2 linked regions of the Drosophila melanogaster genome follow. The protein of the gene in region 1 interacts with the protein of each later gene in a pairwise test. Each region holds a gene or a part of one and is shown in the gene's direction. Other genes may lie near its edges. The genes, in order: CG15153 and CG9304.

Region 1 (15,609 bases):
CAGAGGCAAAACCTTCATTAATCTTATTCAATGTCCGGCACATACTTTAACCCATTCCGGCCAACGTACATACATATATGTTGTGTGTTTTTTGGCCGCAGAGGGGTCGCAGTATAAACAATTTGCACATTTTAAGTTGATTTCTTTGGCATCCTTCGACTCACATCCTTGGATCCTGGCAGCAGTCACGCGTTGCATACGTGTGTATTAAGTATACGCCGTGTGGTGTCCTGCGAATTGGCTTTACGGCTTCTGGGGGCACGAAGCAGCAACTTTATGTGCATTACGTGCACACAAACAACACATAAAAACGCAATCCTAGCGATTTCGAGTATCTGCAGCACATCATTGGAAATTGTAATTTTAAATTATCGTGGTAAGTTCCACTGCCCCTCTGAATGTGGGCCAAAAAACAAATAATCGGAGAAATTGGGAAAACCAATTGACCAGGACGTATGCATAGATAAATAGTAGTTGAAAGCCTCTAAGAGTCAATAGTGCAGTGGCTGCACATAAATTAGCATAGGACTGGCCTCAGTACACCTGCAAAGTATTTTCCTAATATTGACATTCGCATACGACGTGTGGACCAGCTGGCGTGAGCTTAGATTGGCTGGGAAACACTCGCAGTGTAGTTAATGAACCAATTTTAGATTTAATAGCCAATGACTACTTAATCTTGTTTAGTTGTCGACTTTGTTTAAATGGCAAATACCAACCACTTTAGAAATTGTAAATTTAATTAGCAATCATTTCAGGGTTGTTTCCTAAGTTTCATCGCACAGTTCTCTATAAAACAATATAAGTGAATATAATACATTTTAAGATATACAAACAGGTCTTTATTCATCTAGTGAATACTTTCCTAAGCTAGTCAGTTCCACATCGATGCTGGAAATGCTTGGCGATTTTGTCGTAGAGCTCTTGTTGCAGGAGAGGGAATCGAAATTGTAGGGCTGTACTGTGCGGGATGTTGGACGATTCAATATACCAGCAGCAATTTGATCCGCTGTCCACTTGGCCAGTTTTATTATAGCAACCTGTGCGACAAATTGAAGGATCATTGCTCCGAAGCCTTTGTAGAGTCCAGCAGCTCCCTCTGAAATAACGGTTACCCTGTAGCAATCGAATAATCCACGATAGTCTGTCAAAACCGGGACAACTGAATAACCAGTATCAAGATTATCGATTATGGTTCGGGTGCCCTGCAGTTCTAGGCGATGCAATATGGTTTCGAGAGGGAAGAATACAACCTCAGTGGTAAGCATGGCTATAAGTCCGGCATAAGTTTTCGCATTTTGGTTTTCAAGCTTATTGTCGGGGTTTTTTTCACATCGATTTTCCAGCATTCTCCTCTGCATCATTCGAGTGGATACGCCATGTATTAACAGGTTGAAGAGATACTTTGTAATGCCAATCGAAATACTCGGACCGATTAATGCCCAAGTTGGTAGCATTCGAGTATTTTGCGGGGACCTCCATGAGAAAATGCGAGCTCCACCTTCTCGAAGGACATCAAAAAGTCCTGTTTTGTCGCTGGCAATGCCGCTTTGCACTGTCTTCACCAAGGAAACGGTGTGGAAGGGCAAAACCAAAGCGATGCTTACAGATTTCAGAAGGACATGCTGGCCAAATCGCTTTAAGGTCGTTCGACTATCCAATTCCTTGGGCCAACTGCTGAGTTTCGATATTACATCGTCAATGGCGCAGGACATTCCACGAACAAGCAAGCAGCTGCCCATTCCCTTCCATAGTGTCGTTAGTCCTTGGCGTCTGTGCAAGTGGACAATACAGGGCAGCAGGGTAAAAGGATGCAAGTGGTAACACTTGGAGGCATTATAAACCTGACACTGCCAACGCAATACTAGAAACGGATGGCTCAACACATGTTCCGTGAGCAGAGAAACCCAATGAACTCCAACGACAAGATATTTGCGAAGTGATTCATCCTGCTCCTGATTATCTAAATATTTATCCAGCTTGGCATGTTCCGAACTAAGATATTGGATTTTGGCAATGGCATCCTGGTCTGCATTTATGTTTTCCACAATTGACTTCTCGCGGCAATCGATGCTGTTTTCCAAGGGATTCCTAGGGCTCCAGGCTGGGACTAAGTTGCATGTTTGCTCCTCTTTTTCAAGATTCTTATCAATGAGTTCTTTATCCGTGACGAGCTTGAGTTCCTGACATTCCATTTTATTAGAGGGGATGTATTTATCTATATGTTATCTTCTGTGTAGAGCTGATAAACGTGTTAAACATATCTAAATATAGCACTATTATAGTTTAAAATCGAGTGTCTGTAATGACAGATAGTGGTGAGACTTCTACTTTCCTTTTATTTAAATCGTTCAGTAAATAGGCATCTGCGGCAAAAAATAAAAATAATGAAGAATTTCATATGCATGCTCAAGTAAGTGGAAACACATTGAAGGACCCTAATTTTGTGAGCATCATTTTTCATCTCCTCGCGAGGCATCCGCGCGAAATTTTAAAACATTTCCCCCCTTTAAGCAGTGTCTATTGCTTTCAAATCATCCTCAATCTTGTGGCTTGCGGTTGCCTTTAGTCTGCGGAAATCAAAGGACACATTGTGCGCCGCCTGGCATCAAGTGCATCATGTGGCAAGCAAAGCCGGCAACAATGTCATTGTCTCCACCAGGGACTAAGGGGTATGGAAATGGGGGGTTAAGATTGTCATGCACATTATGCGGGTGTAGGACTTTGAATGAGGGGTAGGATCTAGGTTGGCACCCAACTCCAAAGTCACAAAGTCAATTCATTGCCTCTGCAGACGACGCACATAAATAAGCCAGGCCGAGCAAAGTTGGCCCAGAAAAAGGCTTTGACGAATGGGTGGCTGGCAAAAGTGGTTTTTGGTGGCACAGTCCGCTAGTTGATTGCGCATTAATTTGTGAGCCAGTCTGTGGAATCCCTTAACCATTGCCTCTAGGTTGTCTGAGTTATTATTTGCTTAAAGTTTTCTCCACTCAGCTGGGAAATGCACAAGAGCCGAGACTTCGAGATGCACTGAGAGCGGGAGAAAACTTTGAAAAGTAATAACAATGGCCAACTGACAGAAAGTTTAATACAATGATGATGTTGATGGCTGGAATGCATTAAATTAAATACAAACGAAAAGAAAGCAATTCGAATCAACAACGAGCTTTGTTTTCGACTGCCTTATTTGCATGCAGTTTCTAGTTTGTTTTCCGGCTCTTGTCAACATCATCCGGGAAAACTGATATATATATATATATACATATATATATAAGTGTGTTCTTCAGTTCGCATTTTCCATTGCGAGAATTCAAACTGGTTTCAAATGATCAAAATATTGTGAAATAAAATAAAGGTAACTGTGTAACTCCTCTGTTTTAAATACATTGATTTCCATTGAAGCACACATGTTTGTTCGGGGCAAGTTCAAGTTCACAAGCCATCGCGCCCCATAAAGTGTGCAACATAAATTACCGAAAGTCCCGAAATTCTTTCCCAGAACGTATCCTTTCGTTTGTTCGGTGCGCTCTTAATGCGATTGCATTTAAATTTATAGCGCCGCCAACAAAAGTGCTGCATATTCTTGCATATTTTTTCGGCTTTCTCCTCTTTTTGGCACTGCAATCAGAAGTGTTTGAGTGCCGGAAACAACTCGTTTTCCTTGACGGCAGCAGGGAGCAACACGTCGCTGTTTCGCTGCCTATCTGTGCGGTATGTTGATACTGTTGTTGCTGTTGTTGTGTTGCAATTGTTGTTGCTGCTGCAAGTTGCATGCATTTGCACTTGATAAGCAAACACGAAGGAGCGGGTTGGCAAGAAAAATCAACACGGTCCGGGAAATATGCATGTTCTTGTTACCGGTAGATTTCCATTTTAGATGGCAAAGTCGTCGCCGTGGCGTTGTTTATATTTATGATTTGGGCGTGGCCCGCCCTTTTGCCAGGGATGACGAGTTGCCGTGCCATCTGTGCATTATGCAAGCCAATCGAATGTCACTTAATTGGCTTTTTATGCGGCATATTTTAGTGATAGACTCGATCAGGCGGTGACACAAAAACTGCAAATGCACTTAGGAGTTGCAAGGACATTGTCATAATATTCGTATAGCACCGCTATTAAACGAAAAAGCCAACAGCAATAAAACTATAAAGAGTCTCTGACTCTTTCGTGAAACATAAGCATTCAAATGCACGCGGAAAAATATAAAACGTCTTTAAAATAAAAGTACATTTAAGAAATAAATGCGCTGAGAAGGAAATACTTTTGAAGAAATGGTATTAAACATGAACGTCATATGTCATATTTCATATACCCTATTTTTGAACGTACTGTTGTCTTGCATTTGATGACCCCTGTCGGTGACTTCATTCTCCGAATGTGTGTGTTTCCATGCCTTTGACGCTCAGCACCTGTAGTTTAATGTCGTATTCGTTCAAGCTCCAGCCCACTTCTGCAATTTTCTCGTACATCTTGAGCCAAAACAAAACAAGTTGTTGATCACACAAAGCTGGCTTCAGTCGAGAACAGAGCACGGAAAACAGGAGCTGAGCCAAGAGCCTCAGCCCGAACCGAAACTGAACAGGCGTCACATCTTGTTTTTGTGCCGGGGGCTCAAAGGTAACGCAAATGGGCACGACATGCAATCAGGGGGCGGGCACGGGCGTTCAGGGGCGTGGCTGCGGGTCGAAGGTGGCCAGGACTGCCGCCAACAACTAAAACAAAACATTGACATAAATACGTGAGCGCTGCTGTGGCTGCGGTTACAACAAAAGTTTGTGTTTTTCCTTGGTTTTTCGCTTTTTTTTTTTTGGCTTGTGAAATGCCCTTGGAAAGTAGGTATTACAAATTGCTGATGAAGTCTGCCGGGAATATATGGCTGAGTGGGTATGCAGGATTGGAGCGAAGTTTTTCTGGTGTCCTCGGGTATGGTTATAAAACTTATTTAAGTGTTTTGCGGTGGGTGGGTAAAATGTTCTAGATTTTCGAGAAAACTTTTTCAAAAATGATTCGAACAAACTTTTTATTTTATTTTAAATGATTTGTTGTAAGAAAATACGATTTCCGCTCAAAGTATTTGGTTGCTTATAATGGAAATATCAAAATTAAGTTTTCGAAAATTGAAAGTAGAACTGAGCTTACAAATGCCAACTATGAATTATAAAAACTGTGGCTTGTCGAAAAAATATTAGTTAATTGATAGCAAAATTACAAACATGCCATGCCAGCTTGTAAGTTTAAAATGTTTAATTATTAATTGAAGAGCATACCCTGTTTCTTGAATAACCCTCATAATTTTCCTTTTTTTATATTTTCCATTTTCCTTTCTGCAAGCTACGTTAGTTTGCTCACTTTTTCCACCTTGTTTTTGCTTATTAGTACATAGTTTTCATTTTTATGCGACGGCTGCACGAGCTTTTTTGTATTTTTATATTTATTTCTTTTGAAGGTTGCTTGCCGCCTGGCTTTGTTTTTTAACTGGGCTTGTACTTGCGCCATAAATTTTTAAAACTTGATCGCGAGTGTGAGCCATGGTGTGCATTGTTGATGTTCTTGCCGCACTCGCAGGCCTAGAAATGCAGAGCTGAAAACTCGCTGCGAACCATTTTCCCGCTGTTTTATGATATTTTTTTGTCGCTGTTGATATGTTAATCGCGCTGTGCATGCAATTTTAGTATTATTTGGCCATTTGTTTAATTTTAACGCCAGCTCGGCGGGTATTTTTTGTCACTTTATATGCGTTAAACGTAAAATTTAATAGATGTTGCACGAGCTTTTTAATTTTAATTATAGGGCGCGCACAAAAAATGGTAACCTATGCCGCAAATTATGTATTATGTAAATTGGCAGCAGGGGGCTGTACCACATATGCTCTCCACCATTTGAACACAATCAAAGGTATGCTCATATAAATGCCTCGAATTTTATTGTTTTACGTGCGCTGAGGTCCTTTTCGTTGCGTGTGTGTTGGTGTGAGACCTCATAAGTGTTGTAGGGGGCCATAAACGCCTCTCTACCTTTATCATAAAATGTGCGTAAAACTTCCTTGTGGCATTTATTGATAAAACGTTTGGGCAATGAATTCCTATTTGAAGAGAAGGCTTAAAGCCGAAGAGAACAAATGTTATCTGCCGGAAGGTGAGGGTGCAAACTGGAAGATTGCATGCCTGACGTGTCTCCCCAGCGCATTATTTATTCGATAATTATTACCGAGATAATGAAGGAAAATCCCACTTGGGCCAAATAAATTGGGTTGAGGGAAAAGTCCTTGGAGAGCGATATTTATACGAATTTATAAGTATAATTTCTATATATACTCAAATATTATATTTAAATAGTTTAATTTATTTTAAATATTTGGGGACACCTAATAATTAGAAGCAACTCAGTCTTTTTGCACTCGACGCTGAATCAGCGAAGTTGGCTCTGCTTTCGTTTACCAAAAATTTCATAACCGCGACATGGAATTTCCAGGGACGCATCGCTGTCCAAATACTTTATCGCCAGCAAACATCTTGTGGGCCTTATCGTCGAGTGTCAATGGCAGTTATCTGTCGATGGATACAATTGCTCTCAGAAACTGATATAAAAGCGCTGTTCAGCGAAAATTTCCCAATCGAAGTTCGTACCCCCCAACGAATTGGACCCGAAATGGATTTCCACCTGCTGATGATTGCACTCGTGCTTGCACCAGTCTTTACACCTGTCCACTGCCAGGTGGCCTGCAATGCGAGGAGCGGCCCTGTCCGCCAGAAACGCATCGTTCTCAGCAGCCCGGGAACAGGTGGGCTGGCCGAGTTGGACACTTGCCAGTACCGCGTGGCGCCGTGGAGCGGCCAGGTGTGTCAGGTGCGCGTTGATTTCGAGCGTTTGGAGCTGCCGCAGCCGCAGTTGAATGCCAATTCCGGAGTGCTGGAGTGCGTCGATTTTCTGCAGATACAGCATTTCCGGCTGTGCGGTCGCAACAGTGGTCAGCACTTGTATATACCCATTCGCCGGGGTCAGGAGCTGCAGCTTCTGTTTCGACTGGCCACGTCCCTCGGCAGGCAGTCCACCTGGCAGCTGACTCTCACCCAACTAGAGTGTCCCAGGGACTCCGCCAGGGGTGTAGGTACAAGGCAACCCGAGGTGCAAACACCCACTGTGCGACCGATTTTGCCCTTTTTGGGTAACTTCCTGCCGCGGACCATCTTTGGCGGACAATCTGGAATCGGCTCGGGTTCCGGTCCCGCTGCCCAGCTTATCCAGACTTTCACATCGCCTTCAAGTGCGGATCTGGAGATGTTGGCACCTCTGGGCTGTGATCAGTACTACAGGACCACCACTGGCGGAATAGTGAGCTTCAATTTTGCAGGTGGCGTCTATATGCCCAACATGAAGTACTCGATTTGTGTCAAGGGAGCGGCAGACAACGAGATAAGGTGAGTGAGTCACCACTCCGAATATATTTCACACGCTTCTCGCCGTATTCTAGTCAACATTTATAATTGTCATTCATTGCCGAATACTTCTTTTTTTTGTGTATTACAAATGAATAATGTTTTACTAGTTAGTACACAATAATTTCGTATTAACTATAAAAATATAATAATAATGTAATATTTCTCGGCTTTCTCCAAAACAGCTACAAGATCACGCACTTTGAGCTCTCGAAGGCGAACTCCGAGCAGCCAGGACCTGCCTATGACACCGATTGCCGCAGTACAGTGCTGACTCCGTTGCGCGTATCTGACTATGTGAGCATTCCCGATGCATACATGGTCGGCAGGCCAGAGCTGCAGGCCACTCACTACTGTGGCAATGGATTGGCTGGCCAGGAGCTAGTGGCCCGGCCGCCTTTTGTCCTGCGATTCGCCAGTGATTCGCAGTCCAGTGGATCTGAAACGGGCTTCCAGCTGACCTACACGGTCCGGCGGTCACAGGATTCCCTGGTGTCCACAGATCTGTAAATTGGCATAAATAAAGCCGGCAGTCTTAACTAAATCAACGCACACAAGTCAACTGGAATTGACATTATTAAATGCAGCAGTGATACTGGCACTGTGAACCAGGACATTCCATGGCCACGGATTTGCCTTAATTAAATGCCCGGCTCCGGCATTAAGTCACATGTATCTATATATGCAAATAAATTATGGAAAGCCCAGTGGCATATATGGCATGTGGTTGACAATAATGGCAAAATGCGTACGGGAAACAGGTTCATCGGAATGCGGATAGAATTTCATAGTTGATTATTTTGATGTATGCTTAACAATAATATGCTGAAGCAATTTATTGTCCTGCTCTTTCGAGGTGCGTAGGAGAAAATAATGCGAAATGGATATTGTCTTTGCGCAGGGCTCGTATTGCATGAAAGTGAGCAGATATTTAATTGAGAAATTTAATGGGTGTGCCATTTGATGAATTTCCGATATGTTGCATATACTTTACGATTTGGTCAGTCTTAATTTAAATGGAATTTAAATGGAATGCCACTGCTTAGATTGAGACTTAAAAAATAATCTTATTAGTTAGGAATACTTATATATTATATATAGGAATACTTATAGAGCAGTACCTAGCTCAAAAACATTTCGAGTACAACTATTTGACAAATAAGGTTTACTTTCCCAAAATTCTTCGAAATATTTTGGGTTCTCCCGTGATATTTTTAAATAAAATAACTTCGACAGCCACGTGCATATTTGCATTTATAATTGCAAACTGGTGTAACTTGCTTGGATATTCCGGTGCAGGGACAGCCATTCGCCACCCCCTCAAACTTTTCACACGAGCCGGCAGGAGCGGATGCAAAAGCTTTTCGGGGGAATGGGAGCCGGAACGCAGTGACATTTTGATGCCGACACAGCTGCCACAATTGCCAAGCCATGTATTTTTAATGAAAATTTAACAAAATTTCTGCGGTTTAAGTGCGAAAATTGTCGAAAGCGCGCAGAGCAGGTGGCTGGGCTGATCGATAAACATTTACACATATTCGGCGGAAACGAACGCGGAAGTGCGAATTTTTGCGATTCAGTTGATGGAACACATATGCAAGCTGCTGCAAAATGTTGAGCAAATAGGCCTTAGGCCAAACGGATATGAAAAGGGATAAATTCAGCATTAAAGGGGACATTGTTAAGTGTCTGGTAAACAGAATGAAATTGCATTTGCATCGATGACCAGAACACTGGGGAAATTGCCTTTCAAATATGCATAGTCATATGCTCCGACACGATGCCAAACAATGTGAGCCAGCTCTTTTGGTCTGACATCGACATCGACATCGTCTTCGACTACTTTCCCTCTCGAATTTATGTAGTCTCCTTTTGCTCTGGAAAACACTTTTGCTCGCTTAACGTTTCTATCCTGGGGCAAATTGTTTTTACCCGACCAGTCGACAAAAGATGCTCCAGCATCTTGGACCATCTTCCTTTGGGCCACCTTTCGCCTCTGGCTTTCTGCCAGCTAAAAAGAGAACTTTAAGCCTGGTCATAACCCAAACTGAAAAGCCAGCTGGGGAATGGAGCTCGCCTTTCATATGGCACTCGGGCTTAATGGTCACTTCATAAATGCAGGCAATTTGGGAGCTCGGCATACACTGCGTATGCGTAATGCAACTTTGCAGCTGCTAAAAGCCATGATTGTTGGCCTGGCGCAGTTTTAATTGCGGAATTTTCGGAAGGCAGTGCGATAATTGCAATATTTCATTTTATATTGGCTTCTAGCTAAGTAGCCGCATATTTGATTACATACTGTTTTTTTCAATTACCCCCCATCTACTATCAGTTTACAAACTTTATATTAATTTTAAAACTATACTAGCTGGTTTTTATTTCACGTTCGGAAATGTTGGCCAACAGAAAACTATAAACATAAATTGTTTGGTTGCCAATCTAGCCATAGTCAGTTTTGGGAACACGGTGGGGGAGTAAAATTCCGGAATGTTTTTTAGATTGAATTTTTAAATTTTTTCCCTCAACACACACTGGACGATTTTTTCTCTGTTGTTTTGGCGTTAGCCCGAAATGGTCTATGTTTATTTAAGCATTTTCTCACTGCAGATTTCCCCTCTGATGCTGTCAACTTTCTAACATCTGACCCAACGCCAAAGGCCCAATGCAATTTACGCTGCTAACAAAACATAAAACAAGAACCGTATTCATAGCACATTGCATAGAAAATTGAAACAAACATTCCCAAAAATAAAAATTCCAGATGCGGTTTCAACATTGTAGTTACAATGTCACAAATTATTAATTGCTAACGGATTTATTTATTGGTGGGCTGGCAGCTAAATTTAACATACATTTTTCACAATGCTTTCATAAACTACTTTGAGCTTTGCCAACCTCTATGAAAATGTAGAAATATTTTATGCAGGTATTTCTATAGCAATCAGCTGTAAATGTTTGATAGGGCTCTGTACTGTTTACTCAAAGAATACTAAAGTAGGTTCAAACATTAATTTAATGTCTGCCTTATCGCGGCTCAAAACGCAGACATTTTAACAAACTTAAATGCCAATTAAGTAACATTAAATTGTGCGAAAAATGAATCGGCACAGAACACGTCCTTGAGCAGAGAGAGACTGTCAACAATGACAAAGGAAAAAATTAAGCAGCTAAACAGGGTTTTATGGACGGTCGGCAGAAATAAACAAACAAGTCGGGTCCAATGGAACCTCCGGAAAATCTGTAAGCCACGGCAACATGACACTGGCCAGCTCACACCAAAAAACACACTTGGACTTGTCCCTTATACAAAGGACCAGGCCCGAGCCCAAGCCAAAGCCAAAGCCAAAGCCAGAGCCAACAACATAATCTACGGGTTGTCAGCAGCCCAAAAGACCATAAAGGCAAGGCAAACGAGCTGAAGGTCGCCGGACGAGAGGGGCACCCAAAGTGGGTGGAACGGGAGGAGCAAACAAATTAGTATGCAAGTCAGGCAGCCGATTAGGACACCGAAGTTTTCGCGACATAAACGGACGGCAGGCCACAATGGCAACATCCCATCCCATCACATGCCCTTCATGCCATTCAAGCTCTTTTTTTTTGGTTTTTCGGATTTAGCCAAAATAATGAAGTCGGTCACTGACGCGATCTGTTGCTTGTTATGCCTAGAGAAAAAACCGCAGGTTATGGTAAACACAGGTGAGTCAGGTGTTTTGATTTCTTGATACCGAAGTCGCTGCACAACTATTTTATAAAATGTTTGTATATTATACATAAAAGTGCATTTTGTGTTAATTTATCTTCAAAGTAAAATATTTATTTGATTATTGCTGCTAACAATTAGAACATGACGTCCCTCAAGAATATAATTCCGAAAGAATATTTATAACTGGGTATCATACACATTAAAAAGGTATTAAAATGTCAGCTAGTCTTCGCACCTTGACAAGCAATTTCCAAAATTAAATGTTCTTGTTTCTGTTCACAATTTTCAGCTCTACAGCTGACAGACTGCCTCTTTTTGTGTTATTTTGGGTCCTCTGTCGCTTTTGGGTGTTGCTTAAATATTTCATTAAAAATTCCACGCACAATTGCACATTGCTGTGGTTTCTTGACCAAGCATAGAACAACCTAACTGGAATAAGTCCATGTTTAATCTTTAAAATAACAGTGGCTAGAGAATTTTACTGAATTTAAATCGAATTACTACCACAAAATGGCTACTGCAAAGCGTTTAGTGTCAAAAGAAAATGTGTCTTACGAAGAATGTAGCTTTATTGGGAGGAAGTTTCACATTTGCGTAAATAAACAATAAATTTCACAGGCTCAGATGTAAATCAAACTAAAAACAGATAATCTAATAAAATGGTACAAGTTGAAGCCGAGCAGAAAAATGATAAGCCACATGTGCTCTAAATTTTAGTAAAAATGCTATGCAATCCTTTCATTTAACCTCTGTCAATTTGTCAACACATTTTCAAATTAAAATGATCAAGAATTCAAGAATGTTTTATTACTATGAATAAAATAGCATGGGTTTCGTTAAAAAGGAAATTCTCACTTGGGCCCAATAGCAAAATAATTTGAAAAATTGTAAGGATAATTCACTGGAATGATCTTAAGTAATTTGATTTATATGATAAGATTTAAGAAATAAACACTTTGCAATTATTTATATTGGTTTTTATATTACAAATAAAACATTCTTATTAAAGTACTTACTTTATTACCCCAGTTTTCTTGGCCCGACAGAGATTTTGCTAAAGTTATGGCCGACACATACTGGCAGTCATATAATTTTCATATTTTCATACATTGTTTAACTTGTTCCTTCGCCCTTTTCGTGGGCCACGAACAATGTGTGTGCAAAACGTAAGTTTGCGTGCTTGGTGCATATAAATTAGTCGCTTATAATATTCTTTTGGCATTTTTCAAATTTCCAGTTCGGTATTTGCCGGCTCTGCCTGGTGAAAGAGTTCGTACGCCATAAAGTATGCAGCTTACGTGCTCAAGGATTTCTCCCTTCCCGCCTTCTTAGCATAGCATGAACGAGCAGCAAAAAACAATTATTAACATATTAATAAATTTTAGCATATTTGAAAGGCCATAATTTAGTGTAATTCTAGATGCCTGCAGCTGGGCAACACCTGAGGGAAATTGGATAATCCAGCCAAGCACGTAATTTGCATTTTTTATGGCCGGGCCTTAAAGAGCCCTGACTGATTATGGCCTTAAACAATGCCCAAATATTCCCATTGATTAGCGAGATTATGGCTTTGTTAGCCTAAACAGTCTTATCAGTTTTGAGTGCATTGCAAATGTTTGTCGGGCCTTTGTTCGCTGTGCCATTTGTGTTTTTTTGTGATGAATATTCCAGTTACGACTATTGACATTCCCAAAAGAACTAAGCCAATTCCTGTATACATTCCAATAATCGCAGCATTTAGGGCAAGCTATTAAATAAGGTATTACATTTTGTTATTCATATGTAGATATTTTCCATGCTTTCCATCCTACCTTCAATAGTTTTGTGAGCCCTTCGTCTAATTCCGCATGCAATCTCATTGTAAATAGGGGTGCATAATGATCATAGGCCACGTTCTTGAACAAGCTGGATAAGGAGAAAAAACAAGTTTTTGGTTTAGATCTTGACCCTACATTGATATTAATATTTTCTTTGTCTTTAAGCTGATACTATCTATGTTAATAGTGACAATTTCACAGGTACAAGAAGGACGATTTTACGTTCCTGTGTAAATTAGTCTGTGTTAATCGTACTTTTCTTGAACAAATGGTTTTGGAGACTGGGCAGCGTCAAATAAAAAACTCACTCAATGGCCTCGTCGCGCACCACTTTCGTGCTAATCATAAGCTGCCCCCTCAAGCTCAATGGAATGCCGAGAGTGGGCTCCATTATCACATACATGCCGTGCTCGGATTCCTCGGGCTGCAGGCCAGTGGTGTTTTCCCTGTACATTTGATCTGTGAGGAAGAAGTGCGGATGCGACATGTAGAACGGGCCATTGAAGGCGGGAGGACCGTAATCCAGGACTCCGTTGCGCGGGCACTCGCGATTCTTGAGGCAAAAGCACTCAGTGTCCGGCGACAGCTGGCCATTATCGATGGTGAGATTGGTGGACTCGTATCGCCAGACATCAATGCCGTCTATGGTGAGATTTTCCTTTGGAAACAAGTTCAAGTACCGCGCTGCATCTGGTAGGAATATGGTGGTGGGCTGATCCCACGTCCTGTACGGCGACCAGAGTTCCCCCGTGCTGCCATTGACCTTGCCGCATTCGCCGGGATAAAAGCCGGTGGTGTTCTCTCCATTCCACAGGAGCAGATCTCCCAACTGGCTGAGATCCCCACGGCCAGTGTGCAGTGTAAAGTTTCCCTCGGCCGTCTTTGAGTTATTCCTCTCGTAGAACCAGCCAAAGGTGTTGTCGTAAACCGGGAGCAGGGGCGAATGCAGCTGCTCCACGAAGTCAAGCAGATGGTCATAATAGCCATCAAAGAGCCACTGGCCAGCTGTGTGGGTCATATGGGTGGCGCCGCCTTCGCGATTGAGAGTAAAGTTCATGACCTTGCGCAGGATGCGGCGCAATCGGCGCGAGTACAAAGCAGCTGTCTAAAGCGTATAGCGGGATTAGAGGGGATTACTGGATGTGGCGACAGATATTCGGACAGAGATATTCGGTATTCTTAATGTAAGTTTTGCCGTCAAATAGCATAGCACTCAACCTTTAATCAGACTTACCAAAGTAGGAAAGTGTGGGGCTATAACTACATCATCAAGCGATCCATTTGACTTTTCCGGTAGAAAATGCCAGGTACGTTTGCCGAAGTAGGTCACCTGGGGCTGATTCCATTCCAAATCTTCCTTGACCTTAAAGTCACTGAAAGTGTAAGGCCCCAGCTGCTCAAAGTGCGGCTTAACGCCCTCGGTGTTCAAATCCCCCGGATTAGTCCAGTTGAAGAGGAAAACTGTGCTATATACCGGCGTGGGCGTAGTCACCCAGCGATTGTAGATAAAAGAGTTGGGAGCCAGGGGCAAAAGACTTCGAATCCATTGCCGAGATACGGCTGGCCAGGCTGAGGCCAGAAAAATCCCAATTGCCAGGATCAGGCCTCCCATGGAGAAGACCCAGATCTTTTGCTGGCGCACACTGCAGCAACCACAACGCATCGCCTCCGATCGATTTCGATACTGGTACGTCAAGCAATTTAAACGGGGATATTTATAAGCGAGCCCACTTTTGGGATACATTGATGTTCAATAATGGGAATGCAAGATTAGATTTCAAGAGCAAATTAACAGGTGATTTTTTTATTTTTATATTTGTTTTGAATTCTCCACTTGGAACGCTTCTGATAGGCTAATCTCCGAAAGCTTTTTCAAGTGGCTTGTTTTACGGCCTGAGTTAAATGTTATACGAAGTTTTGTGATTATATTTCGTTTCACTCATTAGATAAATCATTAGATGCACTGTAAAAAAGAAAATACAACTGAGATACGAAATCGTTTAAATAGGTATAGGAATCACATAACTATTATACAAATTTGTTGAGTTTTTTAAATCTTAATTTTAATGATTTTATTTAATTTTCTTTTTCTTTTGTGTATATGAATTAATTATAAACTAAAAAAGACACACAGATGATGTTTGAATTTTAATTTTAAAAACAATTAAAAAATGTTCTAAAATAAAACCTTTATTTAAAGAGCCTATTTAAATTTGTGTACAAGCTTCTATAAATTCATTCACTCAATCATTTAAAAAACCACATAGATAAATATAAGCTTTAACTAATTTAATTATTGTAAAATGAAGACAATAGTTATATGAGTTTTTTAAATTTTATTAATTTTTTCAGTTGTTTAGAAGTTTTATATTTTAAAGCTAGAATAAAAAATGTTTAGAGTTATTTATCACATATATGTTTTTTGAATCACATCCGTGTGCTGCTCATTAAAAAAAATGTTAATACTAAATTAAAAGTTTCGTTCGACCACGTTGGCCGGAACTTCCGGTTCATATGGAGTTTCCTCGTTATCCTTGAGAGCCAGTTTGTCCAACTCGGCCTGGCCATACCACTTCCTCTTAATGGTAAGTAAGATGCCAACTGCTATAAGAATGCAGCCCAGGCACAGGAATCCCACTCCAGTATATCTCCC
Region 2 (17,106 bases), on another chromosome or scaffold:
TATTAACATATTTTTATTAAATAACACATCTTCGTATTCTTTGAGTGCATTACAGTCTCCCCTAAAATCATGAAGCTCAATTACAATTATTGTTAGTTTCCTCTACAGCCAAAGTCCAACTGACAGGTGTTTCCCAGAATAGAAGTGAGATCCGAGGGGCTAAGGTGAAGTCCAGATGAAAGGTAGGCGGTCACGCAAAGCCGGGCTTAATTAATACACTTTCCCCCGCTCATTTCGTGAAAATGATTTGTTGGACATTTATAGAGCATTTTTCTCGAGAAATTTATGCCTTTGACGAGTTCCATCTGGCGCAGTTTGGATTTATTTCGCCATGCTACCTGAAAGAAAAGTATAAATGAGAAGTATGCTTTGCTATGGCAAGAAATCAGCTTGTGACGCACAAATTTCTGGACTATGAAGAACTCCAGCACAAGCCCGGCTTAAGCTCTCCCCCCCCCCTTCGCCATTAAAATCCAAAGCAATTGCACAAAAAAAATATGAAAAGCACCGCTCACGTACAAAACAAGCTGGGGAAAAGGGAAGTGGAAATGCATAAACCGGAGAGAAAGAGTCTGTGTCGCTGACATGTGATAACCTCAATTTCACAAGCGTTGATATGGTAACTATGAGGGCTTTTCCACCTCCCAAACGCCACTCCCTCGTACTTTTGGGTGGCAGCGACAGGTGCACGATTGCATAATCCACAACCGAAAACTGCAAATGTAATGCAAAACACGCAGCGGCGCAGGATGCACAGGATTAGGGCCCTGTTTTCATGCGGGGATCTGCAATCTATGGCAGGGCATTGGGCTTTCGAGTGCTCTGAACTAGGTCCCATTTTCCCTCCATTGGAATATTCGAAATTTCACAAATACTCACTTCGACTGTACTTTGAATCATAAATATGCCATCCACCCACTAATTAACATAGCTTCTTTAAAACGAGCAAAACAAAAATGTAAAAGAGTTGAGGGACAAGGAAATAATATATTATATGTAAATGCTTACAATTATTTTGGTAATTTGCTTTGAATTTATACCAAGGGTTAAAAGATCCAGATAAGATATCTTGGCTCTAGAATTGTAATTTCGATTTGCTTTGTAAATATTTAAGAGTTTTTTGCATTTCGACATTATTAATCCCATAACACACACACACATTTCAGCTGCATACCTCAGCCAGAAACTATGTGGGCATTCTAGAATCCACCAATCCACAAAAAAGTATGAAAGCAACCCTTGATGCTCGAATTACCAACGAGATATTTTCGACATCCAACATGCATCACTCGGCCTCATTCACGCACACATTTTATGCATATGAGTGTCGAGATGATGAAACAAAGCAAATACATAAATTGCAGGCCAGACCGACACGAGATGGAAAATGGCAGTTGCGAGGGGGGAAATGGGAAAATGGGCGGGGAAATGGGTGCGGGCATGACAATGAGTCTGTCATATGCGATGTCCGAAAGGAATTTTGTGGTGTTAGACAAAGTACAGCACTCAGCTGTCAGAGAGGAAAATTCCAACAACAAAAAGAAAGCGGACGAGAAAAGAGCGAAAAGCTGCACACAAAAATAATAAGGAGCTGGAAAATGTTTGGGAAAATTAAAAGCCAAGTAGCCGAGTGTTTGTGTGTGAGCGCACTGAAAGCTTTATGAGCCATTGCTGGCATCAAAATGTCATTGTAGAAGGCATTCGCCTGAAATGGGAAATTCAGCAAAGGATTTTCGGCGACTTCTGTCTGTGTCCTTGCCACTTTGTTTGTGGCGATTCGAGCCGAATGGGAAAACTGAAAGAAAAGCCAGTAAAGGGTTGCAAAAGCGTTGATGCGTTCATTGACTCCTCCTTCGAGTTGGCCATAATTCTTTCGCCGCGAATATTTCGCATAATGCGAACAGAAAAAATTTACACGCAATAGATTTTTATGTCCTTTCGCCACAATGCACACTCAACAGCAGTGCGAATTATTCGTCAGATTCCATATATCATTTCAGAGTGTGACGCATTTTTGCGAATTTTCACTACGATTTTTATAGAATTTATTTCACATTTTTTAGCGTTCTCTGGCTGGCGTTCATCTGCGTGGCATTGTTCAGTATCATTTCGCTGAGCAAACGCACTTGGCATCGCTTTCAGACCTCGCCAATGGTTATATCCATGGATCGGAATAAGCTGGTCTGGAACACCAGCTTTCCATCGCTCACAGTCTGTCCGCATAAGCGGATCGATGAGTTGAAAGTGGAGGAGTACATACTGTGAGTTAAAAATTCAGTTTCCTAAATATGTGGTATACCACATTTAAGTGCATTTTTTCCCCAATGCACCCGTACAGCGCCCATCCCGACCAATTCCTGTCCGAGGAGGATCAAGAGGATTTCCGCGATTTTATTGTGAAACTTGCCAGCCTCACTTACGACAACTTGGAGACACTGCCGCTGAACAAGTCGTATGGAATACCGAGCACCAAGTACTTGGAACTGCTCTACGAATTGAAATGGGCCTTCGAGCCGGAAATCAGCAGCGGCGCCGCCGTCAAAATGTTCATCTACGAAACGCAAACGGAGTTTGGCATTTGCCATTCAGTCAACTCGATGGTGGCGCGCTACAATTCCTTCGAGTGAGTAATTGTTGGGCAGGAAGTGCTCCCGATTTGATTGCCTTCTCCTTGGCCACTTGGCAGCTACTGGCGTTCCGGCGACTGGAGTCTCATGGACCACGGCGACCGGGTGACTGTTCATCCGCTGGATGGCGAGATCTACGCGCAGATTATTAACCTATCGACCGCCTACGATGTTTACTTTCACGGTGCCGGCGATGTTCCGAGTATTTCGAAGCAAAGGTACACATTCCCGGAAAGTGACTACACCACCGTGGAGCTCATCGCCCTGGAGATCTTTACGAATGAGGAGGCGAGAGCGTGAGTTTCAAGATTGCTAAATTTTAGGCTCAAAATATATTTCTTTTTCAATATACATATTTATTTATTGGCAGTTTCAGTACGAAGCAGCGAAGCTGCCGCTTCAACTACGAGGCCGAGGAAATGATGACGGTGCCCATCTACAGTTTTGGCCTCTGTCTCTCGGAGTGCAGGATGTTCTTTGCTCTGCGGGTCTGCGGCTGCGTTCCGCACTTCTACAGGAACCGCTGTGGGTATAATCATATTTTCGGTACACAGAGTTGCACTTAATTGGCCCCCATTAAAGTTAACTTTTATGCGACGAACGGGGTTGCATCGGAGCTGTCCAGTTTTATGGCGAAAACTCGGTCGTAAAATGCTTAAATACTCACAGTTTAAGTGGCAACTTTTGCACTATTATCTGTCCCGCTCCAGTGCACTCCATTCGTCTCTTTCTTCAATGTTTTCCAGTGCGAAATGGCCGGCGGTTGCCTGTTTGCGGACTGGAGGGCATCGGATGCCTGGTCAAAATTAAACGTGAGTAATTTCCACCGCACCGGGAACATGCAAATATTTATCGTGGCCCGGAAATTCGATTTACATTTTTCGTCTGAATAAAAAAATGGACTGAAATTTCCCAGAACGTGACCATAATTTAATTTTCCGTAGGATGGTCAAAAGTCAAGGTTGAAATAGACAACCTGTTGCGTAATTGAAAAGCGGGAAGTAATTTGCTGGGGAGACCAGATTACGGACAGGTTGACGTTGATAAGCTGGATAAATGTTTTGAACAAAAAGCTTGTGTTCTATTAGAATATTAAGTATAATATCTAAAAATATAAATATTATATGGACGATGCTTTCACTAAATAGCAGTTGATTAAAGTTACCTATACCTAAAGCTTAACATAATATAAATTGTTATTAACCTTTTGTTTTTTCCTTCAGGCGAAATAATCTCATTGAAATCGGACAAATACAAAATCAATTGCAACTGCTTGGCCAACTGTGATGATTCCAATTTCTTTGTGCAATCCTATGTAAGTACATCGCACATAATAATAAAAATAAATGAAAAAATGGCAAATCCCCTATTAAAAAATATAAAGTAAACTTTAACTGTAAAAATGTTTATGGCGAACAGAAGCGCCATCTAGCGCTCGTTAAGTGGCAACTGCAGACGCCGCTGCGTCGCGCATTTCAAGTGGAAAAATGCCCGGAAAACTGGGGAAAATCCGCCGGAGGGAGAGAGCCGAAGAGCCGGAGAGCGGGGTCTTGTGCCTTAAACAAACATCAAAATTGTAGTCCGGGGCTATAAAAAATAATAAGCGCAGAAGTTGCAGGAACTGGGAGCCTTGAAATATGCAATTATTTTGGGGATGAGGCGTACGAAAAGGGGCGGCAAACCAAAAGTTTTGTTTACCTTTTTTTCGCGCTGTGTGCGGCGAAAGTTTTTACATTTAATAATAATTTTTGCTTACTTGCCTTGTTACCAGAATACTGATGATGTTGTTCCCATTGCGCTTTGTTGCTCTTATCTTATATATATACCGTATCATTATGTGTTTTCCTTATTTCCCCTCTATTTCCCGAATTTTCCATAGCGTTCGCGTGTCTGGTTTTTGGGAGCCAATTTGCAGTGGGGTATTTTGGAGCACCCAAAAATGCAGGTAAAGGCTAATCAATAGGATTTGTAAATTGGTTATGATATATGTTTCTTTAATGGTTCCCAAAGAAATCTTTCATTTTAAAACTAATTCTCGGTTTATGGTTCAGTTATGTAAACACCTTGTTATTAGCCTAATACTTATTAATATTTTTGTTTAACATTTAATTACTGTTCATTTTTTATTAACCATTGAAACCCAAATACCCAAACATGCAGCTACGGCGGGAAGTCCTTTTCTCCTTCGCAGATGTTTTGGGTGAGTTTTTCCTCCTGCCCAAAGTTTTTCCGACTCACTTAAGAACGCTCGCATTTCACTTTCAGTTTACATCGGCGGTCTTGTTGGATTTTTCTTGGGCTGCAGCGCCTTAAGCTTTACGGAAATTATCTACTACTTTACGGCACGATTTGTTCGACGCATGTTTTTCGATTAATTCTTTCTGGAATTTTCATTATATTAAAACATAGTAGTATAAACAGCTTAAAATACATGTAATATAAGATTGAACTATCAGGGAAATGAATATATTGGTTTACTTATAGCAATTATCTTTCTTCATAAGATGATACATCAATTTTAATAAAACGCATGTCGATTCAATCAAAGTCATCCACGATTCCAGCGGCGGCCTTAATCTCCTTCCAGCGCTCTGTGATCGAAGATCCTTCCGTACCTGGCCCACTGGTCATCTCCGCTGGTTTTCCGATTTGTACACCCAAGGGAGGGGGCTTGACTACGGCATGTCTCTCGATGTAGAAATTGCATTGCTTGCAGTAAACTTGCGACATTTCGCGCGGCTCAAACTTCTTATCGCAAATGACACAGATTTTGGTTGACAGACGGCACTGAGCGCAGCGGAGCTCCTTCCTCGACAGTTCGCTCCAAAGAAACCTTTTAAAGCACGCGGTGCACATGTACAGCCTGTTGTCCGGGGATTCCATGTCCACAAATCAGGCTGGGAAACATAATTAAGCTTAAGATTAATAGGTCAAAAACCAACCTTTAATATCTTACCAAAATTATATGATCAAAGCACTTGGGAGAAATCTAAATCAAAGCTTCCTCGACTGGAGGAATACGTTTAGTGTTAAAATAAGTCATGGCTTTGTCGATCGATCTTTGTATTGTATCTGTGTATCTGTCTAATCACGCCGACTGCCCAGTCATCTTTTTTTATTGGCCAAACAAAAACAGTTGCGTCGGCCTAATCAAAAATAAAATACACTTTGTGCAAAGTTGGCGGAAATCATGGCGAGGAACTCCCCAACTTTTCCACCTCGCCATCATTGAACCTTCATTGTCCATGTTTCGTCGCTGGCATTTCAATGAACTTCGCTTCGCTTCTACAATCGAACAGAAAGGGACGGGGACAGTGGGAAAGAGAGGGCGGTAGTCCGTCAGAGAGGGACGACAAATTGCGCTCCTTTTGTATTTTTGCCAACCTTGTCGGATTTTATTATTGGGGTCGTCGGCAGACATTGAAATGAACTTCTGACTTGTTCACATGTTATGTGTGCTTAATATTTGCCGAATAATTTGTCGTAAGTTATTTCGCTTCAGCTATTATTGGCCTGCCAGCGAGTACAGGCAAGATTCGATAAGCGAAAAGGATCAACTGACCAGAGATGGAGTTCCAGTATCTTAACGCTATAGAATTAAAATAGCACAGCCAATTAAAATTTCTGTAGAAAATATATATCTATTGTAGTAAATATATAATTAGGGATGCTTGACTGTATTATTCCATTGCTAGAATCGCATTTATTGTGTTTGTCTTGACTTTTGCACAACTGAGTGAACTGTGGCTGTCAACAAATGCCAAAAACTCATGAATTTTTGCTGCTCCTTCGGCGAGTCCTTCTTCGTTTTTGCAGCGTCATCAATGAATGAGTGAAAAATGGTCGAAAATGTGGGTCATCGAGGGAAGGAAGGATACATAACTTGCTGTAAGCTTCGCCTGATCTGCTAAAGGAATCAAAGTTTTCATCTGCCAACATCACAATGGGTAAATCTACATTTCAATGGCTTCATATTTTTATGCAAAACCGCACTCTCCCTTTCGCACACTCTTCACCTGTCTCCCTCCCGCAATCAAATCTCAAAGGAATTGTCAAAGAGTGTGGATTTTTTGCACCTTGTCTGGTGGAAATGGGAAAAAGGGGGCGTGGCAAGCCACAATCCACACGAGAATTTCCCGCCACCGCGAGCTGCATTTTAAATAAATAAAGCGTAAGGGATGTTCGTTGGGGTTAGGGTGACGCATCCGGTAGCTACATACGTATTATCCAACTTTGCACTTTGAAGTTTTTGGGGCTGAAAGGGTGGCACTTTTTACAGCATAAATTTGGGAATTATGAAAATTTATTGTTCGAAATTGCCATTGGCATGCGTGTGAGGGCTTAATGTATAAGAAATTGATAAGATGAGACGCCCATTTGGGTAACTTCTAAAGAGTTCTATTGTTCATTAATCCTAGAATTGTATGCTATTGTTGTGAATTTCACAAGGGAATTGAAAATGTGCATACTAAAATCGATAACTTTTGATAATAATTTAATGCTCTTATGTGTACATATTTAATTATATAAAATGCCTTTTTAACTCATAGTTACACATTTTAAAATAATTTCGGGCTTCAGTTGTATACCCTAAAATTTTAAAATTTGCGAGTCATCCTCTTCCCTTTAAATATAAAGTATTTGTTCAACAGTTGAACTTACTCTGTAGGTTTTATTTATTTATTTTTTAAATGCTTTTGTATATTTCATTTTTAAAAAGTTCCCCAAAAGTGAAGGATGCTGTCTCGGCTAGACGAGAAGCCAGGAGTGTGTATCTGCTAACAAATCGATATCAAGAAACAAGCTAAATTATCGCGAGAAACATCGGTCTCCGATGACAAATGCATCGATGCCGTTTTGGCATCACTAGCGACTGCGGATTTGTGGTGTGGAAATTTCCGCAAAACAAAAATAAAAATAGACCTCGGTGTGCCAACTTGCAAGCGATGCACAAAGGGGCGCCTCCTTGGCGAGTGGGCTGTGCCGACGTGGCATCCGGAATGGAGTGGCAGCTGTCCGGGAATCCCGCATTGGGAGAAGAGGAAGAGGCTGCAAACAAACAACAACAACAACAACTGATAAGAAGTGAAAGGTGGGCCTGCAATCGCAGGACTATTCTCCTGGGATGCATCTGCATCATTATCTTGATAGCTGTTCCCTCGAGCAATGCCACCCACATCAGCGGACAATTCCAGACGGGCGACTTCTTTCAGTTCCTGGCGAAATTCGGCTTCAACAAGGCAGATCTGACACGGCGCAATGCCTATGGATATATCTACGGCAATGTCACGTCGACGGATAAGTATGCGGTTCCTTTGACACTCGTCGTCTTGGACAGAAGGACTTTCCTCGAGTTCTACGGCAACCGCAGTCAAAGGAGCCGGGAAGCCGCCTGCACAGGGATGTTCTCCCGCCTCCAAAGGATCGCCTACGATTCCACGTGCAATCCTCGTGCCAAAAGGGACTTCCTGCGTCATGTTCCCTGTCCCGTCAATCAGCTCTGCAGCGATGAAGATGAACCCGGAAACGTAGTCCCGGGATCGCAGTTCACCTACGTTATCAACCTGGAGGCGGAACCAAGGTGAGTTATGGGTTTTTCTGGGCTTACAATTCGGAAGATAAGAATTGGATTGCAAAAAAAAACCCAATTCATCTTCAGAGACTGCCATTCTCTCTATATATTGGCCTTTTGGTATGGAGCTGGCTCCATGCAGATAAAATGAAACCTTATATCTTTGTTTGTTTGTTGCGGCATTCCTCTTTTGTAACGGAAAACTGAGATAACATTTGATTTGGAAATGACTTGGAATAATTTTATTTTTCCATAGAAGCATTGTTGTTTTAACTGGTTAATGTATTTTGTTGTCCCCCGCGTCGTTGACAGATTTTGGTACCTCTCCCTGGTGGCCTGTTATCAAAACAAAAGCACCTGCCAGTGGCACGCGCACGAGAGCCTGCCAAGGCTAAGTAAATTGGACAGCAATCTCCTCAACACGCTGCACTACGACATACATCTGGTCAACTTGCATCCGAACAACTCGGCCGCACATCCACTTACCTACCAGTACTCGTACGATCAGCAGAATCTACTGGAGATGTACCTGGTGTTCCTGCTCGTCTACATTGTTCTGCTGCCCATGCAAATTTATGCGGTGCGGCGGCAGAAGCATCCAGTGACCAAGTTGTTTACCGTGAGTCTTCTCAGCGAGTTCGTCAGCCTGGCTCTGATCACCGCTCACCTGATTCACTATGCGGCCAATGGAGTGGGCGAGCCAAGATTGCAGGCAGCTGGAGATGTCCTGGACATCTTGAGCCGCACCACATTTATGTTAATTCTGCTGCTGCTGGCCAAAGGATGGGCAGTTACCAGACAGCAAATCAGCAGAACGGGATGGATAATTCTGATGTCCATCTGGGTGCCATACTGCGCGTTCCACGTGTTCCTTTACATCTGGGATAGGGTAAGATGTGAAATAAGCTTTATAGACTTTCATTAAAAACAAATGTTTTTCAGACGGAAGTCGATGTGGTTTCCGACATCGATGAATACCAGACGTGGCCCGGCTGGATAGTTTTAATACTACGGTAGGCCCTTAAAGTTTTTTGGCTGTAAAAATGAACGTGACTCACTGTTTTTTTAAATTGACAGCACCTCCTTTATGATGTGGTTTCTTTACGAGCTCCGCAACACCATGAAGTACGAGCACTCAACAAAAAAACTTGACTTTCTACTTCACCTGGGCGCTTCCAGTTTGGTGTGGTTTATCTACTTACCCATCGTGGCAATTGTGGCGCTGCAGGTCAGCCCCATGTGGCGCTACAAGTTGCTGCAAGGTATCACCAACTCGGCGGACTGCATGGCCTATTGTGTGATGACAGGTCTGTTGTGGCCACATAGAGCCGGCCAATATCTGCTCCTAGCGGGCACCAAATATGCGGGTGAGTGCGGTTGAGATATAACCGAACTCGGACAATTTAATAAGGTAATTTCCTTTTAAGGCATGGATGAGTTGGACGAGTTCAATGAAGCGCCACACATTGTCAGGGAGCGTGAGAGGCGTCGGAATTCGCCGCCCGATGAAATTGCCGTTGGTACGGGGAGTCGGGGGATGGTGCTATCCACTAGCATTCCACATTCGCTAAACGGCGATGCCTGCAACGATCTTTTGGAGGCTGAAGACCTCGACGCGGAGCTGCTCACCGATCTTAACAAAAACAGTCATATTGTGGCGTAAATGCAACGGGTTAATTACTAGGTGTAGATGTCAATTGTGCTAAATGAAACACGGAATGTTATTCATCCTAAGCATAAACCATACATATAGCTAGATTTAGGTGGGTTGATATTTCCAATCTTTTCACTAGTACTACTTTCTGGCCGAAAACGATATTCTGCTTTTTTAACTGAAGTATTTGCTTAGCTATTTTGAGACACAGCAAGTTTCCTAAAAAGTCGCTCCCTTAGTAAACAAATTTAGTTATTCCAATTAGTTAACAATTAAGTTAACATTTAACTGACTTTTGACTTGAGCTGAGTTTTTAAAATCGACCCACCATTATCTCGACACAAATTTATCTGAGTGTATATTCCATATAGTGTGTAACCACTTACAACGAAGTCAGAGCGAGTGCAAGAATGCACCAGAGATTGTTGTGTGATTTTATGTAATATGCTTGAATTTATAATTAGTTTCTAGTTAACGCATAGGAGATCGATTCGATACAATACGCTTCAGCATCATCATTTCGTTGCGGTAGTTTATGCATAAGCTTACATTTAAACAAACTACCGACTACCTACTAAGATAAGCAACCAAGAGGTATTTTGATAAGAACAATCCAAACACACGAGCTAAAACCACTTGAAATTGCAAAACGAAAAATAGCTGAATAAATGAATAATTTTTAGATAACTACTTTGATTTGCTTTTTGATAAGTAGACCGACGAACAACTTTTATTTTTTACATTTGAACCTTCAATACTCTATAAAACTCATTGTACCATACAACACGTGATTCATATCAAAATTCAAGTTAACCGTTTTATAAACCTATTAATTTATAATTTTTAAAACTGAAAATACAAATTTTTTCATATATAAGTAGTTGTTTTATTTTATTTTAATTTTTTTATTTAGTTTTGAAGTTATATTTTAATTAAGTAATATTACATTTAAGCATGAACATACTTTTCTACGTTTTATAAGAAGATAAATAATAATAGCTAAAAACCCTTGATGCAAGTGAGTCCCACTGTTGCGTTCGTTGCGTGTCCTTTAGAAAGTCCCTGGAGTCCTTTTAGTTTGCTTTAAAATCAACTATTATGTTGGATTCAATTCTAGCTTTAGTTTCGCTTTCAACGTCCAGAACAATGAATCAATACTTTTTGCTGCATACTTACTTTCAAGTGAGCCGCTTGATAGGACTCTGCAATCTGCACTACGATTCCTCGAATCATCGGTTCATCCTCAATCATGTGCCCACAGTGGTTTACTGTGTTATCCTGAATGTGGTCTATCTCTTGGTCCTTCCATTTGCCCTGTTCGTGCTAACTGGCAACATTTACCATTGTCCAGATGCGGGCATGTTTGGAGTGGTCTACAACGTGGTGGCTCTGACCAAACTCCTGACCATGCTCTTCCTAATGAGCAGTGTTTGGATACAGAGACGTCGACTGTATAAGTTGGGAAACGACTTAATGAAGATGTTGCACAAATTCCGATTTAACCTTGGAAACGATTGCAGGAATAGATGCCTGTGCAAGGGTCTGCTGACCAGCTCTCGATTTGTGCTCCTAACCCAGCAGCTGTTGACCCGGGATTCGGTGGTTAATTGCGAGAGTAACTCCAGTTTGAGACAAGCTATGGTTCCGTACCAAAGTGCTGCCATAGTGTATGCCTTAATCATGATTCTATTAATGAGCTATGTGGATATGACAGTCTATATGGTCGAAGTGGCTGGCAATTGGCTGCTGGTAAATATGACCCAGGGGGTTCGGGAAATGGTCCAAGATCTAGAGGTCTTGCCCGAACGGAATGGCATTCCGCGGGAGATGGGACTGATGCAAATCCTTGCCGCCTGGCGAAAACTTTGGAGACGCTGTCGCCGTTTGGATGCGTTGCTCAAGCAGTTCGTTGACATCTTCCAGTGGCAGGTGCTCTTCAACCTGCTAACCACTTATATATTCAGCATTGCTGTTTTGTTTCGATTGTGGATTTATTTGGAGTTCGATAAAAACTTTCATTTATGGAAGGGCATATTGTATGCGATTATTTTTCTGACCCATCACGTCGAAATCGTAATGCAATTTTCCATTTTCGAGATCAACCGCTGTAAGTGGTTGGGACTTTTAGAAGATGTCGGAAATCTGTGGGACATCAATTATTCGGGAAGGCAATGCATTAAAAGCAGTGGAACGATTCTGTCAAGAAAGGTAAATATTTTGTATTGAATTCATAGTGCAAAGATAATGACTAACGCTTTATTTTAGTTAGAGTTTTCCCTGCTCTACATGAATCGCAAACTTCAACTGAATCCAAAACGTGTGAGACGTCTGCACATCGTTGGATTGTTCGATTTGAGTAATTTAACCGTTCACAACATGACCAGAAGTATAATAACCAATGTGTTAGTTCTGTGTCAGATTGCCTATAAAAAATATGGTTGAAAAATAATGTGTGTAAAGTTATCCAATTAAATTTCAATATCAAGTAATTTGACAAAATGTTTTTGGGTTCGAAGGTCTGCTAAAATCTTCCAAATTTTATATAAAACATTATATATTTAAGCTTTATAGAAAACAAGGAACATATGTATGTATTTATTTCTAGCTGGCCCCAATACATAACTCTTTTGGAGACATCTTAAAATTATCCGCTATACAAGAAAGCCACAAAATCATAGCTTTCAATTCGAATTTGATATCCTATAAAACTCCCATGACTGAGAGTCCTGTAAGCTGCGAGAAAGCTTTCTATTTTCGTGTAAAGTTCTGAAAGCTTGATTGATTTACGTTTATGTATCATATCAAGGTAAAAAAAAAAACCGTGTATAAATGGTGAACATTTAGGTAGATAGATATAAGATATATGATTTTCTTTACACTTTTGTTTTGTTCTTCATCAAATGGATGAGATATTGACGATCATTGATGGGTTGTCTTTGCCGTCTCAAATCGAACTGCATGAGGATAATGACGTTGCTCAGAATGGAGCCAATATAACTAAGGCAAGCGGGTTTGTCCAGCTCCACAATTCCGCATATTTTGTAGACCAACCGATTCTGCCTCAGCTGCATGGTAAAAACATCCAACTAAGTGGAATATTGTTTAGTATATATTAAATTTTGTTTGAGGCTGAGCACACTCACCTCCCTTTGCATCTTTGGACCCACTTTTGGTAGATCGCTAAGTTGCCTTAGTTGCTGGCCAGTGTTGTTGCAGGAGGTCACCACACTATCCAGCATTTCCATCAGCGCCATGGTGCCCCAGAAGTTGAAAACGATCAATCCGTTGCCAAATAAGATGCCCCAACCATTTGACTTGATGCTGCTATTGCTGTACTGGACGGCATGATAAAGGATATTAATAGCGGTCATAAACATGTTGATAAACACCGTGGCATTAGCGATGTCAAACATGTCAAAGATCCTTCTGGCTAATCGAAGGGTTTTCAGATGCATGGCGGCTACGGAACGCAGAGCTTTCCATTTCTTCCGGGCTTTCCTACCATGAAGAGCGTTTATGGCCAGATGGATTACCAAAAATTGATGATTCAGTAGAACCAGTACCCCGAAGAAACCCATTTTCACGCACAAGAAGTGCAGAAAGTGCGTGAGCCGGGCACAGAAAGCCAGGAAAATCTGTGGGTTAATCACACTGAGCAATTGATACTGCAACACAGTGGAGCACAGAAAAGCACTATAGAGTAATATTATTTTCCGGATCATTATTCTGGCCAAGGACTCTTGTAGGTCAAGGAGTTCTTTCTTGTCCACTATGGCCCTCGTTATGTGTCCGAACCTCTTCCAATATATCAGCGAGTATTTATAGAGCTGAATGATTTTGTGGCGCTTTAGCCACAGGGTTCCATAGCAGCTCACCACAGCGATGGCTCTAAGGAAGAGCATCACAAAGAAGTTCCACTGCAGGACTATGTTGTACTTCATGTAGCCATCTTCCATGATCCGAGGCACCATGAAGTACAAGTTTAGAAACAGGAATATGCCCACAAAGAAACTGTAGATGGTGTAAGTTCGCGAGACCTTTTCCAAGCGTAGGCATTTCCTGCAGGAGCGTATCCTTAGGGTAGTGCTCATTAGGGCGAAGACAACGGAATGGTAGTAGACCACGTTCATCACGCGACCAAGTTTCGGATGCAACATGCTGCAGTCAAGGCAGCCAGGTAACTGACCACGTCCTAAACGCGGCAGACAACTAATTAGGATATAAAGCTTACTGATGGAATTACGATGAGCAGACAGGTTCTCCGATTTCCATCAGGATAACAGAGCTTCCATCGATTTTATAGAACAGTTGACGGGTGTCCTTTGCCGGAAGCAGTTGTACGAAATGCTGTTGAAATTCATGTACATATATGGAATAGGCTGTGGTCTGATGCCTGCTCCTCTGAAGAAAGGACAGTTTCTTTTGGGATATAAGCAGAGATGGTACCTCATCTATACGGCCTGCCTGCACGGCGGTCTACTGACCGTCCTGCCCTTCACATTTCCCCACTACATGTACGACGACAGCTACATGAGCAGCAATCCAGTCCTGAAATGGACATTTAATCTAACCAACATCACCCGTATTATGGCCATGTTTTCGGGCGTTCTCCTGATGTGGTTCAGAAGAAAAAGGATCTTGAATTTGGGTGAAAACTTAATACTTCACTGTCTTAAGTGCAAAACACTGGATAATCGTTCTAAGAAGTATTCTAAATTGCGGAAAAGAGTTCGAAATGTACTTTTCCAGATGTTACTCGTCGCAAATCTCAGCATTCTGCTGGGGGCTTTAATTTTGTTTAGAATTCATTCAGTACAAAGAATTAGTAAAACTGCAATGATTGTAGCCCATATTACACAGTTTATATATGTGGTCTTTATGATGACGGGAATATGTGTGATCCTATTAGTTCTCCACTGGCAAAGTGAGAGACTTCAAATAGCACTCAAGGACTTGTGCTCCTTTCTTAATCATGAAGAACGCAACTCCTTGACTTTATCAGAAAACAAGGCCAATAGATCCCTCGGAAAATTGGCTAAGCTCTTTAAACTTTTTGCGGAAAATCAGCGATTAGTCCGAGAAGTTTTTCGAACCTTTGACTTGCCCATCGCCCTTCTTTTGCTGAAAATGTTTGTTACAAACGTGAATCTGGTTTATCATGGAGTGCAATTTGGCAACGATACCATAGAAACCTCAAGTTACACAAGAATCGTGGGACAGTGGGTGGTGATTTCTCATTACTGGAGTGCTGTTTTGCTCATGAATGTTGTGGATGACGTGACGCGGAGAAGTGACCTGAAAATGGGAGACCTCCTGCGAGAATTCAGTCATCTGGAGCTGGTCAAAAGGGACTTTCATTTGCAGGTAGCATTTTTCTGGTAAAATATACGATATAAAATTTTTCATACATTTTTAGCTGGAACTTTTCTCGGATCACCTTCGTTGTCATCCGTCAACGTATAAGGTCTGTGGACTATTTATTTTCAATAAGCAAACGAGTTTGGCTTATTTTTTCTATGTGCTGGTTCAAGTTTTGGTGCTTGTACAATTTGATTTAAAAAATAAAGTTGAAAAAAGAAATTAAAAGTGATAAACAGAAGCTCTAAGCTCTAAATAACATATGTACATAAGTATAATTCCTTATGTACATATGTATGTATTTGGCTGGCCAAAATCCTTCTTATTGTCAAAAATCATAATATATTTTGACGCCCAGAAGCAGGATCAAATTAGGCAACAAATAATTTCAATAAATGTACATATGTACACCATGTGTGCACACTGAGAGAAAATATTTGTTGAGCCACACGAAAGTTGTAAATAAATGCGGCGATTAATCAAATGTATTTCAGTTTCGATCCTCTTTTCTGCAATGAATTTATGAGTTTCAAGAAAACTTATAGTATAGTTAATCAGACTAATCATTGATTCTCGAAAGATTTTGTTTCTCAGTGCATTAAGCCCCATGTAGCGAAACCTCTTTGTAGGCTAACAAATCAAATTTAATCAAGCTCTCAGGAAGTCAGGCCCCCGGGCTGGATTTGGTCATTAAGTCTGGCCTGTGGGGCACAATACTATCCGATTTAACCAACCCACTGCGACTGTGTTCCTTTCTACCCGTGTGGTTCGATATTCCTCGACGGCTTTTTGTATTAATTCCAATTATACGCACGACTGGGGAATTTCCATTTGGGTTGAAAGGATTTTGGGTCATTATGAGCTCCCACTTCATCATTCCTCTGCCATTCCTTCGTCCTTCATCCTCCGATTGCATTGTTTTTGCCACCTAACTAGTTCTAGATGGGGCGGCAAGGGGTTAATTGGCCAAGGTCTGTGTATCGATTGCAAATTGTGCCTGGGATTGGGATTGTGACATGGCCCGAGCCACAAAACGAGAGCAAACACGATTTCTTTTGATAACTAATTAGCAAACTGGATAAGTTTATTTGGCAAAACGTCCAGATTGCCTCCTCTGTTGGGTAAACAGAAAATTATGAACACAAGTCAAGAAGAAGAATTACATTTCAAGTAAAAAAAGGATTCCCTTCAGTGCTTTCCTCTTTTAAAATGATCTAATTTATATTGGGTAAACAAATACCGCTTTGCTAAATAACGACTGTGAAACTCGATAGTTACTAGATTGTTATTCTGCTTTAGTTTAGTCGTGGTCAAATCCCACTGAAATGGGCCAGTCTAGTAGTTTTCCTCACAGTCCAGTGAGTCGAATGAAAATTTGAATATTTCGTGCATCCCTGGTTCTTGCATGCCCTTAAAATGCAATTAATTTGTTATAAAGTTTTGGCAATAGTTTCGGACTAAGCTTCGTTCAACATTGAGCCCTCTGAATGGACATGGACAAGTTTTCCGAGGAGTTTGCGGGGAATTTGGAGGTCGGAAAAACAGTTATCAACACCCGGAAAAGCGGGTGGGCGAGTCCAGAATAGGGGAACCACACAAATGTGGGTCAAGTTATTTTCAACACTTAAAATAAACTCTGCCTCCTCGGCTCGGTTCCTTGCTCTTTGCCAGAATCCTGGCCAGCATTTCTTTAGCCGCCCATTTTCTGGGTCAGTCGCAAACACAGCCCCCCCTTTTCCGACCATTTTCCAACCGAAACCCTCTTTGTCATCGCCGTCGCCTCTGCGCATAAATATAAATTGTATTGTTTCAAAAAAGTTTTCCCACTGAGTTTCTGCGGCCAGCGGAAAAAGTAGTTAAAGTTTTGTTTTCGCCGCTAGTTTATTGCGTGATTT

The links.
Region 2: the proteins of CG15153 (region 1) and CG9304 interact in a two-hybrid assay, tested with the Drosophila melanogaster proteins (one large-scale study listed by BioGRID).

The regions. Positions count from the first base shown.
Region 1 is NT_033779.5:18,083,278-18,098,886, reverse strand, and holds CG15153 (uncharacterized protein), read left to right. Parts: upstream 1-6,630; 5' UTR 6,631-6,648; coding exon 6,649-7,418; intron 7,419-7,621; coding exon 7,622-7,946; 3' UTR 7,947-8,150; downstream 8,151-15,609. Other genes in the region: Slc25A46b (solute carrier family 25 member 46b), read right to left, coding at 843-2,195; CG31741 (uncharacterized protein), read right to left, coding at 12,731-12,886, 12,951-13,044, 13,265-14,061, 14,191-14,619; ninaD (neither inactivation nor afterpotential D), read right to left, coding at 15,427-15,609.
Region 2 is NT_033778.4:21,965,663-21,982,768, forward strand, and holds CG9304 (uncharacterized protein), read left to right. Parts: upstream 1-7,459; 5' UTR 7,460-7,468; coding exon 7,469-8,208; intron 8,209-8,511; coding exon 8,512-9,088; intron 9,089-9,141; coding exon 9,142-9,212; intron 9,213-9,276; coding exon 9,277-9,566; intron 9,567-9,626; coding exon 9,627-9,862; 3' UTR 9,863-10,724; downstream 10,725-17,106. Other genes in the region: ppk9 (pickpocket 9), read left to right, coding at 2,064-2,261, 2,339-2,623, 2,687-2,923, 3,004-3,182, 3,374-3,439, 3,851-3,942, 4,507-4,572, 4,788-4,827 and 1 more; CG34029 (uncharacterized protein), read right to left, coding at 5,166-5,510; Gr58c (gustatory receptor 58c), read left to right, coding at 11,000-12,061, 12,119-12,295; Gr58b (gustatory receptor 58b), read right to left, coding at 12,727-12,939, 12,997-14,010; Gr58a (gustatory receptor 58a), read left to right, coding at 14,198-15,217, 15,270-15,437.